Linked DNA regions of Lepisosteus oculatus. The protein of the gene in region 2 purifies or fractionates together with the protein of the main gene of each other region. This does not show direct contact. Links are inferred from orthologs where the notes say so. Each region holds a gene or a part of one and is shown on either strand. Other genes may lie near its edges.

The links. Proteins that work in one complex are often made in the same cells at the same time.
Region 1: the proteins of fkbp5 (region 2) and akt1 purify together in Homo sapiens (affinity purification with western blotting; 3 studies listed by BioGRID, with this or other methods). This does not show direct contact. The link is inferred for Lepisosteus oculatus from reciprocal best matches to the Homo sapiens genes FKBP5 and AKT1.

The regions. Positions count from the first base shown.
Region 1 is NC_090703.1:17,257,971-17,265,194, reverse strand, and holds the start of akt1 (RAC-alpha serine/threonine-protein kinase), read right to left. Parts: upstream 3,019-7,224; 5' UTR 2,723-3,018; intron 1-2,722. UniProt on the Homo sapiens protein: AKT1 is one of 3 closely related serine/threonine-protein kinases (AKT1, AKT2 and AKT3) called the AKT kinase, and which regulate many processes including metabolism, proliferation, cell survival, growth and angiogenesis.
Region 2 is NC_090700.1:40,510,434-40,518,126, forward strand, and holds the start of fkbp5 (peptidyl-prolyl cis-trans isomerase FKBP5), read right to left. Parts: upstream 3,022-7,693; 5' UTR 2,712-3,021; coding exon 2,677-2,711; intron 1-2,676. Other genes in the region: pth4 (parathyroid hormone 4), read right to left, coding at 5,832-6,159. UniProt on the Homo sapiens protein: Immunophilin protein with PPIase and co-chaperone activities. Component of unligated steroid receptors heterocomplexes through interaction with heat-shock protein 90 (HSP90).

The DNA.
Region 1 (7,224 bases), on a different chromosome or scaffold from region 2:
GTAATGGTGGCACACTGTACTACATTGGTGTAGAGAGGACAGATCCAGTCCATGTCTTCGACACACTCAGTTTGATAAGCTTATAGAGGAGCACTAATGTAGCACCCAGGCTCCTGGGATTTAGGAAGGACACCCAATTAGTTATACACGTGCATCTGCAAACTCTCCTAATATTTATTAATATCATGTGCAATGTGAATACAAAGGCCTGCTGCATGCAAAGTTCTCAAGGCCCAAATTTAAACTATACCAGGATTGACAGTATTGTACACCAAAGTCTCTCAGAGCTATCCCAGCATTCTAGGATTTCACAACAAAGAAAAATCCTTCCAACTCACTGTGAGTGATGAAGACTGTCTGGCCATTTAGTGAGAAGTAAATGTCATAATACACAACCTCCGACTGGGAGGTGAAAATGGCTTTGAACTTTCCAAAGCTGAGAAGGCAATTTTAACTGGAAAGCCTTGTTTTTAAATAAAAATGGGCAAAATTCCTCAGTTGGTCTACTCAACAGAGGAAAGAGGAACCTTTCAAATAGATCCTTTTTAACACATCACACTAACTAAAAAAATGCAGATGAGTACCTGTGGTAAATCCAGGTTGTTGTTTGCTAATGCAAATGAACTCAGCCTCTAATGAAACTGAAATAATTTTCAGGGAATGTAAGCAGAAAGCAGAGACACCCCGAGTAGGAACTCACAAAAGAGTGTGACTTGTGGTCTTGAAAGATGAAGAAGTTATCACAATTTCAATTGAAATAGCCTCTCAAAGACTCAGATGCTACATGTTAACATCCCTCTAAAGAGGCTCCAGTGTCTGATTTTAGATGTATAATGTAAGAGTGAATATCCTCAGTCTATCAGAAACTACTTTTTAGTTGCACTCCTCAGGTTTATGGGCATTCTCCAAATCAAAAAGGACTGTACAATTTTCAAATGACTGCATGATGTAAGACTAATTATGACACTGCTGCATCACCTTTCTGATGGAAACCTCCATCACTGTACCTCCCTGACTGATATTGGACCACATTCACTACATAGCTACTTTCTGCACAATGCAACACATAAAAGAGAACTCAGGTTTGTTTGTTTTGGTTTTTTTTTGCTTTATGACTATAGCTACTTTGCTATTTGCCATTAATAGGGTTAGGTTTCAAAAGGGATATAACTGATAAAGCAATAATATTAGTAAAATGCTGATGTGCAAACTGAGCATGTTGTTACTTATTTGACTTGAGAGTGCAGTGTAATTGTGGTAGAGAAAATTGTGCTACACTGCCGACTAAAATTTTAAAGAGTGCTCCATTTTTATGTTTGTCACGATAGTACGACGAAACAAAAAGTACAATCACAGAAACGGTTGATAATGTTCGTTTTTTTCTCACTATCAGATTTTCTCGAGATAAAGCTGCTGTGGATTTTAAAGCCCATTTGTTGATATTGGCAAGAATCCTTAGGTTCTCCAGCGTGAACTTACTACAGGATTGCCGAATAAAAAATGAATCAGACAGCTCGTTCTAATATAACAACACTTCAGTACTGCTGTGGGAGACCTGTCTTCTACTGCCCACGTGCTAATGTCATTTATCATAACCCTGTGATTACTCTTCGTCATTTCTGAAAAACTAAGACAATGGTGAATTTGCTATTTAGTAGAAATCTTGGCTATAATTTATCGAGCACTTATTATTCAACTTGGGTAACAGTCTATTGCAAAAACTGAAATTAACTCAGATTAAGTTAGGGTTCGAGATCGTGCATAGGCGTAAGATGTCAGTAACGTTTCCAGACAGCGCTTCATAAAACCGATTATTTACACTAAACGTCAGGCAGTAGCAAAACGTAGCATTCCCCCGTAGGACGTAAACATTTGCAGATATAAAGACAACTGTTTTGGTATTTGAAATGCATTGCTACCTAATTAAATGTTTATGGCGCCAAACCTTAAACATAAGAGTTGAGATATAAATATTTATCTAAATATATATATATTCTAACAATATCTTGCACGGACGGATCAAAAGACGTTCTTTTTTATATAAGAAACGCCAGTAAAAATGTAAGGCTGTTGTAAAAAGCAAAAGGTCTTAAAGCGACACGATCTAGAAAAGACCCAAATGCAAAGGCAATATCGGAAAATCGATTCCTGTTGCTCTGAAGAGAGAGAACAAATCTGCAAAACGGCCACTGAAGTTTGTCTTTTAAATCGCTTGTTACTGAAGCTGTATTTACTTTACTCAGTGAAGTGAGGAAACAAACACTGAGTGGACTTTTAAATTCAAACTGAGGCTTCGGAGATGTGCGTTTAAATTCAAACTTCCACAGAGTGCAGAGAAAGGCGAGAGATACAACCATCGGCCTAGACATCTCAGAAGCGATCACGACGGTGTACAATACAAAAAAAAATGACCAATTAAAAATCAAGAGAATTTTTCAAGAATTAAATTCTCAGCGGTAAAGCCTAACAGAACACCAAAGTTTGGGTAGTGAAGTAACTTCGTTACAAAGCAGAAAATAACGTAAAGTAAAATGCGCTGAAGAATTCGGAATATAGTACATATATTTTTATCTTATTTTGCTAGTTTTTGACTGGGCTCTGGGCCTAGCCAGGGCAGCCTGGGTGAGAAATAGCCGCATCCCATTCACTACAATGGGATTTTGCCTCTATGGCTGCATTCGGGCACAGACCAAAAGCAATCAGTAAAAATGCAACACTTTACCTGCTCCAAGGTTTCACAAGTGACTTCGGGTCATTATTATGGACGCCCTACGCGTTTTATTAAGCTGCTATGTCCTTCAATAGTCTGCAAAATTCTTCTCATTTACTCCGTTTCTCTTGCTGGTTCTTCCACTACACCTCCCAAGCCTGGTCTCTCTATTGCTCCTGTGTCACACAGTCCTTTCTCTCCCGGGTCCTAAAGCCGACAGATCAATGCTCTTTCACCTTATTTGCCTTTTCCCCAACTCGGAAAGGTTCACTTTCCGCCGGCTGCCTTGCTTTGTAAGAATGAAGAATGATGACTCTTCATGCCTCCACTCAGCGGGATTTAAGCAAATAGCCAGTACCCTAACGCATACACCACAACAAACGTTATTTAACCACCCTTAGAAAAATACATATTTGTGTAACAGGATTCTTCAAATCAAGTCAGCATTTAAAAGCCTCCAATAGCAAAGAACTGTAAACGGCAAAATTCCCCTCTAGCACCTAAAATCAGTTTATCAGGTTCAATAACAACACGCTGACTGTGCGCTTTTTAGCTTTTTTTTTACTTCCTTACCAAATTTTAACATCTAGTTTCACCTTCATTGCACCAGCAAATTCCAGATATGACAACGGTAGATAATACTTGGTTTAATCCCCCTAACTGGTCTGGTGGAATCCTCATATCACAATTTGTAACTCCAAGAATTTCCGACTGACTTTGGTGGTTAGTTTTTTTTTTTATTGACACCTGTTAATTTTTAACTAATAATCAGGACAGAACCTTAAATGTTCAGAAACATTCTAAAAACAGGAAATATACTGTATATTCACCTCACCACCACCATTCCACAAATTGACAAATAAAATGCATGTGTTGAGAACATCAGTGTGCTTATGTCATTTGAAGTGAATCAGACTGTAGATTTATTCATATTCTGGCTACTGTGCCTAACATGTCTTGAAGCAGAAGGAATTATTAGTTACCTTAAAAAGTTATATTTTTTTATTACTATTTCTCTTTGCCACTCCGGTTAAAACTATTTAAAGTACACACATTTCACATGCATACATGTTTCAGCTAAAATCTAAGAAATTGTATTTCACAGTCACACTGGTTAGGATAGAAAAAACAAAAATGTAACCTGAAACATACTGCAGTATGATGAAAAATATTTTATGTTTATGTCAGTTTATAGTATTTAAATATATCCACAATAATTGCATAATGGAACAAGTAATAGGTTTATTCCGTGCTGAAAAGAGAAGAAAGAAAACACAACGTTTCAGCTGTGAAGCCTTCTTCGGGTGTGAGCCAAAATGTTGAGTTTTCTTTCTTCTCTTTTCAGCATGGAATAAACCTATTACTTGTTCCTTTGCAGCCTACGCATGCTGGGGCAGCTTCCCACCCGAAATAATAATGGTTTGGTTTCTATGATCTAGGTATATTCACATTGTCATTTATAACCAGCAGATACATTTCTAATTATGTAGTGCAGATCAAGTGATTTTTAAAAACAAAACCTAATGATTGGAGCTGTCTCTTGGGTATTCACCAGATATTTTAATACAGAATATGTGAAACACACCTGCTGAAAAAAACGTTAGTAAAAATGTAATAATAATTGATGACTTGATAGCCTCTTTCTATCATTATTCTGCATCACTTCAATATTCAGAAGACACCTAATCCTTGTGATCTAGACATACAATTAATTAATTCAAATATGTCTCAGAGCAGCGCTAAGGCAATTAATTAAGCTGAAGCAAACTAATTAGTTGTGATTGTGAGGCTAGGGGAAGAAATGTTTGAAAAGAACAGAAGAACAAAAGCTCTGGTTTTGGAATTAACATCTTAAAAAATAGAAACCAAAGATTTATAGTCTCAAATTAGATAGTATGATGTCACATATGACTACATCTGGTTATTATTAAGTTGCTTTTTTGATAGTCAGTGAATGTAACAATTGGTGCACAGCTGTCTGTGATACAGTTAAAATGAATGAAAATAATGAGTATAAATCAGAACTACACTACCAAAAATACTTTCTAAATATGTATGTCACCTTTTTTGGTAACAGACAGTCAAGATAGATCTCTTTTCTGGCAACCCTAGTATCTGAAACTGCCCACACATGTAAAGAGCATCCTGTAATTGTGGGAAGTACCACCCCCCTCCCCCTCTAAAGTTATGCAGTGCATTTCCATTTTCAGTTTCGAATAGTCAGGTATTCTTAGAAGTAGGAGTCGTGTGATGAATTCGGCCAAAATGCTGGGTTTTCCGAGATGTGCGTCTACTCTTCTGAGGAAATCCCCTGACTGAAACGGTGACCAGAAAGCTCCAAGACAAGAGGCTGCAGTCAACAGCATCCAAACTCCCTTTTTTCTATTGTGCCACAAGCTGGAGACTGGGGTTGTACAGAATAAAACAGCTGAAAAGTGAGGATTTCAAACAACTCCAAGGACATTTTAAGTGCCCGCAAGCACTAGTCCTAATGACTGACAATGATCTTTTGAAGTTCACTGTAACAGATCAATGGCATAAAGACCCTGGGATATAGCTGACCTTCCAAATAAATAAAAAATATTGCTGCTTAGTCCTTAGTTGTCCTTCCTGATGGTTAAGCAATCTTTGCCCAAGGATATCATTATTATTTTAACAATTCAGTTTTCCATTGTATGGGTTTTATCAATTGTAGCACACTGTATTTATGTTAAAACAATGTTTTTTTATTTATGTTTAGGACACTGTTTCTATTGTTAAAACTAGGGCGAATTTGTCGGTTGCTGCAGAATTTAAAAAATATCAGACAGATGTGAAATTGTATTTGTTGTGACACACCGTTAGCAAAAAACAAATTTGAAGTGTGGCACTGAGAGAAAAATGCTAAACAGCATCACAACATTGTTTTTGATAGAACCAGTATAAAGACCAGGATAATACTTAAAATAGAGATCCTGCACATAAACCATTACACTTTAAGAATTTAACACTGACACTATAGTTTGACTTCACTATGATTCTAAACATACTGTTAACATGCTTTTTGTTTGGCATTAATGAGCTTTGTCATACATCCATCACTGCAATTCCACAGAAAAATAAAACCCTGGAAGAAAACCTGTCTGTCTGGCTTTGTGAATTAGTAGCTTTTCCTTGTGCTGGTGACTCCTGAAATCAGTCAAGTACATTAAAGGATAGAAGTTGTGCTTGACAACTAAGCAAAGCTTCCTCCCATAACTGGCAGCACAAGTGCCAAACATCAGCACTCTGGTCCATTCGGAACACATCATGGTTCCCTTCCTGCCACTTTTACTACATGGTCATTTTTGTACCACTGTGTCTCCCTCCATGCACATATCTCAGCTGTCTATTTTTTTCACTGTAAAAAGTATCACAGCTCCACATATAAAAATGACTATTAAGCATTTTCAGGGGGAATGTCTGAGTCAGCAGTACAAGGAAAAAGGACATAAACAGGGAACAATAAAAAGACAGGGAAGAAGGATAGAAGGAAAAATAGACAAACACTGCACACCTGAGTTTGGAATAATGGTGCCTGGTGCCTTTATAAATTCAGGCGTGTAAGAGTGCAATGGTGATGGACCACATCTGGCACAGGCTTAATGATGATCAAAAAGCAAACCACTAATGTAGGCTACAGCTATGGGTACGCTTTAGTGCAAACATCATACAACTGCATAGCAACAGCAAAACTACTGTCCTTTATTATTGAATTTTATAGTACCCTGATGAATAATTTGTGCATAAATGTTTATGCAGATTATGCCATTGAGCCACATCAGCTGGTTTGCATTGGCACCCAGTCAGTAGTGCAATCAGAGCTGAAAATGTAGTAGCACTTGGAAGCGACAAACATGATTTCTATTCTCACTACATGTTTAAATTATTTTAAAATGGGCTCAAAGTTGGAAGAATGTGCTTGCTTAAGGCAACAGCAGGCTTTTCCAAAGGGGTGGTGGCTATTTTTTTTTTGCTTTAAAAATCACTTGGTTCTGTTTATTCGGACACATTTTTAAAAGAGATTTCGTACTGCAGCTGTAGTAACTGTTCAGCTGGAGTTCGGCGATGCTGATAAAATGATACAGGTAGACATACAAAGCTGCTGTGCAAATTTATAACAGCTTACTAGTGTAGTGCCTCAGGCTTGAGCGCTATGACTTGATAGCAGATTCCATAGGAATGTGAGCCCTTTGTTCCCCCCTCACAAGGAATGTATTGTGGTAACACTGGTGGGGAATGCTATTGATGGTAACAAGAAAGAATGCATCTCCAGGAAGCCCATTCCCATGTGAGAAACCACACCGCTCGTACTCTGCCAGACCTTGGGCAGTCCAGCCCAGCCCCAAAGCACAACTGTTGCTTTGTTCGCCCACACTTTCAAGCCAGACAGTCAGTGTTGAAAATAAGAGGGTCACATTCACCAAGGATCGTGCACCCACAACTGTCATTTGCACCCATTTGTGTTATGGCAACTCATGTCTCCGTTGTATGAG
Region 2 (7,693 bases):
AGATTGCATAATGTTGTGTGTGCTGACGTGCTTGGAAGAAGCTAGGTATGTTTAAAATCTGGACTGAATGCAGAAACAGGTGAACAAAACCCCAAACAAGCAAGCAGATCACTTAATGGCATCAATTAGTGTCAGTGATTAAGGTCTCCCTTGAAACACAAAGCAGGCTCTAGAGGTGGGGTTGGGGACCATACTTACTGGGGGAGTCCTGATCGGAACAAACAGCTATTGCTGCCACTAGCTAGACATGAGGGACAAACCATCCCCCTGATCCCCCTAAACCATCCCCCTAGAGAGCCACTCTGCGCACTGCTCTGCGCCGCTACACCAAGCGGCTCAAAGGAGTGTCAAGATGTTGCTCTCTGGGCTTGAGTCTTTATAGACAAGAACTGAAGGAACCGAAATGGCTATAAATAACAGAGCCACTTCTCTACCATGCTTTCTGTTACTTCCAGCTTCGGCATGACTGTTCATTCCTCCTGTTGCCATTCCAGACACGGATGCGCTTCCCTGTGTTTTTACGCGGCATTTAATTCCAGACTTCAGCTTCCAGCGCTGAACAGAACCAAGGACAGTATGTGCATTATATTCAAATCCACAAGCAAATTCAAGTGTTTCGGGCCTTTGCCTTTCATCTTCAGTGAACAAACTCCAGTGTGAGCTGAACTCCTGTCTGGGGTGGGCAGTAACAGTGTCCCATCTGAACTCACAACTCAAGACCAGAGCCCTGAGGGAGTGAGTGTGCGTGTGTACATGATATGATGTTTATGATAGTGTGTGAGACTGTGTGATTATTAGTATGTGTGAGTGAGAGAGCGTGTGTATGTTTAGTGTGTGTATGTTAGTGTGATAGTGAGTGTGGAAGTGTTAAAGTGTGTGTATATTTGTGGAAGTGTGTGTGACTGTGGGTGTGTACGTCGGGGGGGGGGGGTGGCTCTGGAGGGCAATACTCGCCCAGCCAACAGCCCACCCACATGACACCGCCCCCCGCATACACCCCAACCCCCCCGCAGCCTCCCTCACCGAGCACCGCGCAGCCGCAGCCTGCTGTGCAGCGAGTCTGGCCGCGAGCCAAGCGGAGCTGGAACAGAATGTGCTCGTGAAGCACAGTGACAGTACAGGTGGACGCGAGACAGGGGCGGGGCCACTGGCGCTCGTGTAATTTCTATATACAGTACAATGGATATTTATCATGGATACTAAAACACAGATAACTGTAGTACGAATCAGTTTCCTTTAGCTGAAGAACTTTGCAAAATGTTCTGTACATACTGCTGCCCTGTAAATCGTTTTCACGTTTCGCCCGTCTCGCTGTTCTTCCTCTCTGGGAGAGAGAAACCGCAGTAGAAGGGTCTTGTTTGTTCACCAGCAGAGGATCGCCTCTGTGCCTGCTGTCGGGCTGCAGTTTCTTCCAAAGTCTGCCGGTGTCCCGCCTCTGTCGGCCGCTGCGAGCGGCTTGTCTGGGGGTCCGGGGTGCGCGTTCAGGGAGGTTTTAGAAAACCTTCCCTGGGTGATCTCGGACAATCTGCTCCTTGTTGACAGTAGGCAATGGGGTGTCAAAATGTTTTACTTGTCTGTTAAATTTACCACGGAAAACATTCTGACAGTTTTGTCTTACCTCGGGGACAGTCACACTCGGTTTGTGACACACTCTTAGTGACATTCCGATGGTCTCGGTATTTGACCTGAGGTCGTGATGCCGATCCGATACCCTGAATGTTTGTCACCACTGGCTGTTTCAGGAAGTCCAGCTGAGCCAATTACAAAAATTCAAAATAATAAGAAATACAAAATTCATTTACACTTCTCCCAAAGTTTTACCATGATCGTGCAGTGTGCATTGTTTTACGATAATCGTGCCATGTGTACTGTTTCACCATTATCGTGCCATGTGCGTGCTGTTTCACCATGATTGTGCTGTGTGTGTACTGTTTTACCATGATTGTGCTGTGTGTACTGTGTTTCACTGTAATCGTGCTGTGTTTCACCATGACTGTGCTGTTTCACCATGATCGTTTCGTGTGTACTGTGTTTCACCATGATTGTGCTGTGAGTGCTCTGTTTGTAAAGAGGAGTTGTACGGCATGTTCTTCAGTACTGTACAAAGTATGCAGAGCACCTTTGAAATCTCACTGGTCTCTTGGCACTAAATTTGTGAACTGTCTTGGAGGGCATGGGGAGAAAAACACCTCTGTGATTGATTAAAATAAATGACTGTGGACACAGACTCAACACATCACCATCACTTTCCCGAGTGAGATCACCGTGGGCAGATGATATTTGACATAAGTTACATTGTGTTCCGTGCATTTACTAACTGCAACCAGAAATAGCTCAGGAGCTTTCATCACAGCTGCGCAGTACATGCTCTGTCTCTTTCTATGTTATATACAAATGAGCAAGCTCTCCCCCGACACTGCCTGCTGCATGGTCAGGGTGATACACATTCCTAGTCTAAAAACACAGACAGGTTCTGTCTCTGAGGACCCCAGGCTCATACCCCCAGCAATTATTCCCATGCGCTCTGATCTGTTTGGAGACCAGGCCCAGACCAGGGAGGTCCCAGTGGTGCACTGACCCTGCATCAGCACTGCAGTGACACACAGTGTTTCCACTCAGATGCAACCACAAAGCTGGGACCCACAGCCCCGCTGATCAGAAACAGTCGATCCTTACCTGTGCCCACGGCGGTCACATGGCAGAGAAGGCATTGCCTGCAAGTGTATTGGCCTGAGTGAACACTCAGAAATTCAAATCTATGTTGCACAAACACCCAGAAGCCACTTCTTCATTTATTCCACTGCTTGACCAGATCCCCAGCCTCCCTCCCAGGTGTGGGACGAGTGTGCAGACCATGCATTGTAGCTTCCTTAGTGACGGGCTGCTAGACGACTACTTGTGTGAGAAGTGATGAAATCGGCCCTGAGAGTGTCTGAGAGCCACACACGCCAGCGCTCATGTCCTTCAAGCAGGGACCAAAGCATGCCTGCATGCAATTGCAGCCCTGGTGTGCCTTCAGACTGGAACAGACAATTACAGGTTGTCTGCTGGCGCCGAGTGAGACGCAGGGTCCTGCTGCAGACAGTTATTTCAGCTGTGGAGAAGGTCACTGGAACTGCTTAATTGTTCTCACAACTCTTTCATATGCATGCGCAATCGAGGTTTAAAAACAAAACAATTACGGAGTCTGTTTTTACCGTATCACTTTTGCATTCACAGACAGAGAGGAAGGAAGTGCTCATTACTAATTTCTTCTGACAAATGCAAGCAGCCAGTCTTGCTGTCTGCGGAGTTTTGTTAGTGTGACAGTCTCAGTGCTACAGCTGTGAAATCCAGTTGCAGCACAGCCTGTGTCCTGCTTCGAGGAGCCAGGCACTGTGGCCTGTCTTTCCCCTCTCCCCCTTCTGTCTCTCTGCAGATAGCGGGGCGCCGCCTGTGTGTTTGAGAGCAAGAAGGACAAAACGTGAGAGAGGAGTTCAGTCCAGGACACCGCAGTGAGGAAGTAAAGTAGTACAACATGTCCTGTACTAATCTGATAAAAAAAAGCAGCCGCGTAGTAGCTATTTGTCTGTGGGAAGTGTGCTGAGAGTTTTCATTCAAAGGCTAAAAATAGTGCCTGGAACAGTGGAAAATACAGTGCGCTAACTCACAGACCGCAGTCCGAACGGGCTCGGCCAGTGCGTGGATGCAAAACCGATACATTCATTTAGATGCCTGCAAAAAATGGAAAGTTAAAGAAGTATATGAACACACACCGTCTCGCACACAGACACACACACTCTCATACACATTCTCACACAGACACACACACTCTCAAACACACATCCTCTGGCAGAAACACACGCATTCTCACACAAACACACATATTCTCACAGAGACACAACACACAAACACACACATTCTCACACTGACACACACTCTCACACAAACAGACATTGTCACACAGACACACACACTCTCACCCAAACACACACTCTCACCCAAACACGCACTATCACACACATTGTCACACAAACACACACACATTAACACAGACACACACACCATTCTGCACATGGAAAAAATGAACATGTTTTTTCCATAAACACCAGATTCCAGCATTATTATTCCTGGCTTCTATAATCCTCCGCAATCCTCTGTGTGACCCTTAGGAAACATGTCATGGTACCAGCGTTCTGAAAGCAGGGGAATATCAGCAGGAGTGCCACGCAGACTGACTGGACTGAATGCTTGTAAGGGCACCTCCATCAGAACACAACGCGGCCTTCACATGAAGTACCGTAAAAGACACACAGGCGCTTTTTTCTGTAAAAGCCGACAGGTTCCAGGTCTTCACCAAACTGGCGCGACCTAGCGCCAGTGTGAGGCTGAGGCACAGGAAGGCAGAGGGCAGCAGAAGGCCAGACAAGGAGGCAAAGACAGGGCACCACTCTCAAACTGCGGGCGAATGCCATCACACGCCGGCACTGGGGCCACAGCACACCCCCCAGCAACAGGGCACAACGCCTGCTTTATTCACTGGGTCTGCTGGGGTGCTGGGCTTCGGGGCACAACAAGAGGAGGCAGCAAGGGGTTCCCATCGCTCTGTCACTTCATACCGCTCCCCCAAGATAAGGCAACGAGAGAACCCAGACACACAGAAAGCTGCTTCAGCATCCAATCTGTTTCATTTCCTTCCACTGGGCTTTATCTTCTGACACTTTCTGAGTAACCCGTTCGGACTCGGCGCCTTCGCAATGTGGTACGAGGAAGGTGATACAGGAAGCTGACAGAAACAAGAGACAAAAAAGTCCTAAAAGACAGGGTCCAATTGCACCGGAAGTAACCACCAGATTTTATTTTTTATCACGTTACCCGACAGTACATACAGTATGAATCTTCTCCTGTACAGAATGTCTATTTGCTCGCTCGTGTGTTTCACGCAGAACGCCTCGTCTGCAGGCAGGGTGAGGGGAGGAAATGGGCACATGGAGCTGTCAGAAAGGTGCCTTGAACTTCACCAAAGCGGAAGATTTAATCGGCTTATCAAACCCAATACAGCTCTACAATAATCCAGTTGTGATTCAAAAGCATCCTATTCATACAGCGAAGTGTAAATGTGTCAAGCAGGAGTATGTAGGGCCTTTGGAAAAGGAAGCTGTGCGGAAATCTCAGAGAGTGTTGCTGTCAGCAGTGCTTGCTCTTCTCCCTGCGAGCTCCTGGGGCCCCGGGGCTCTCTCCGAGCTCCTGAAGCTCTCCCCCGAGAAAGCCTCTGGCACAGGCAGTCTTCTCCCACAGCCGCCGTCTACTCCGCCGGTTCGTCTGAAAAAGCTGAAGCGGCCGTGCTTGCGACAGGGGACAGCGGACAGGGGCACACGGACGATCGTGAGCTGAGAGAAGGCGGCCAGTCCACAGATCACCCTGGGGTGATCAGAGGCCAAGCGAGTGAGACCCTAGAGAGAAGGGGGGGGGGGGGCTTTGCTCTCCAGGTCTTTCTTGGGGGTCTGAGCGAGAGAATCGGGTGACTAGGACGTCAGCCCTTCTTCTGTGCACAGAGGGCCTCTCTGACATCAGTGCCCGGCAGGCCGCAGTGCAGCACTGGCGGTGTCGCAGTCTGTCTTGTGGCTCGTGCTATACCTGCCTCTGCTTTCATCTCGCTCCAGCACTAAGAAACGTGTGTCAGGGATACGTCACAACACCGACATTTTCTTTTGCGCTTACCGCTGCACAAGAGAGAGGTCAGAAATCTAAACTAGACCAAATTTATTACCACTGGATGCATGCTGTAAATACAAATATACAAAGGTCTCGGTACAGATCAATGAAACTGGCAGCTGCTTGGCCCTGTGGGTCTAGTTCTCTCCGTCTCCGTGGTCCGTGCTGTCCTGCAGGCTGGTGAGGTGGGGCTTGTACAGGGCGCTCCACAGGGCCTGGAGGGAGCCCCTGCCCAGGAGGGACAGGAGCAGTCGCAGGGCCTCCCCCCGGCAGGTGGTGGGTCCGTGCGCCCCCTCTTCAGCAGGGGGGTCCCGCGCCGGGCTGGGGTCGCTGGGGTCGCTGAGGTCGCGGGTGCTGGCAGTGTGCAGACCCCCCATGGCGCTGGACAGCCAGATGAGTCTCTTCAGGCTCTGCATGGCCCGACCCTTGTCGTGCATGTACTGGTGCTCAGTCACAGCCCGCCTGCTAAAGACACACCGATCACTGTCCCACCTGCTAAAGACACACTGATCACTGTCCCACCTGCTAAAGACACACCGATCACTGTCCCACCTGCTAAAGACACACCGATCACTGTCCCACCTGCTAAAGACACACCGATCACTGTCCCACCTGCTAAAGACACACCGATCACTGTCCCACCTGCTAAAGACACACCGATCACTGTCCCACCTGCTAAAGACACACTGATCACTGTCCCACCTGCTAAAGACACACCGATCACTGTCCCACCTGCTAAAGACACACTGATCACTGTCCCACCTGCTAAAGACACACCGATCACTGTCCCACCTGCTAAAGACACACTGATCACTGTCCCACCTGCTAAAGACACACTGATCACTGTCCCACCTGCTAAAGACACACTGATCACTCCCCCGCCTGCTGAAGACACACTGATCACTCCCCCGCCTGCAGAGGACACACTGATCACTCCCCCGCCTGCAGAGGACACACTGATTGCTGGCGCACTCTAACTTGTAGAGTGCCTTGAGAATGCTCTGGGTTGAAAGTGCAACAATATAAGAATCTAATTGATTGATTGATTGATTCCCTAGTCCTTCACTCCCAAAGTCTTCAGCCTTTCTCTCTTCGGATTTTTAGCTTCCTTTTAATCTGGCTCTACAAAAACAGATTTGGAGCTGCAGACTCACATGTACTCACTTACATCCAGTTTAAAGTAATTCAATGACTGGCTTCATTCCATTGCCTGCAGATGTTTAAACACCTTTTAAAATCAATCAGGATTACTTAGATAAGGTGTAAACTGGTTTTGCTTCTCTGAAAACACAAAGATCAGCAGAAGTAGCTGTCCTGGTTATATTAAGAGTCTCAATTAGAAAAGGGATTGTTTTGGGTAATTCAGAAATGGGACAGATTATATAAAAACGGGGGAGATCTTCTCCACCTAGCCCTGTTCTTCTCAGCCTCGGGGTAATGCGCTTAAAAAATCATCTCTGTCGTATTTCTATATCGTTTCCCTGACTGAACACGTGGTTTGCACCCTGTCCACGCTGCACTGGGTTTTTACCAACCACGTGTTCCAAGACGTGCAAACCTGTCCGCGCGCCTTGTCAAATCGCTGTCCGTGCGGGACTGGGCACGAGCTGACTGCGCTTCCCTGCCCTCGAGCTGCGGGGACACGCTGAGCGCGCTCGGGCAGTGCGTGCGGCTCGTGCAGCACGGCCGGGAAGAGCTGGTACGGAGGGGGGTGGGGGGCGGAGCGGGAAGCGCATGTGCAGACCTCAGTGGGTCGGGCTCCGATTAATAATGTTATCTCTTGCTTTCATCAATTCAATTAAATTCAAGGTGCTTCGTTAGCATGTCTCTCGTGCATTTGATGTATCCACCCCCAGTTCCGTGTTATCTCGCCCTCACTCCACCTCCCTGTGTCCCCAGAGCAGCGGTCCCAGGCGGGTGCGATAGCGGTTTCGCGGACGGTTATTAGTCACACTTCAGCTCTTCGGCGCCTGTAGCAGCGCAGCGGCGGAGGAGGGGC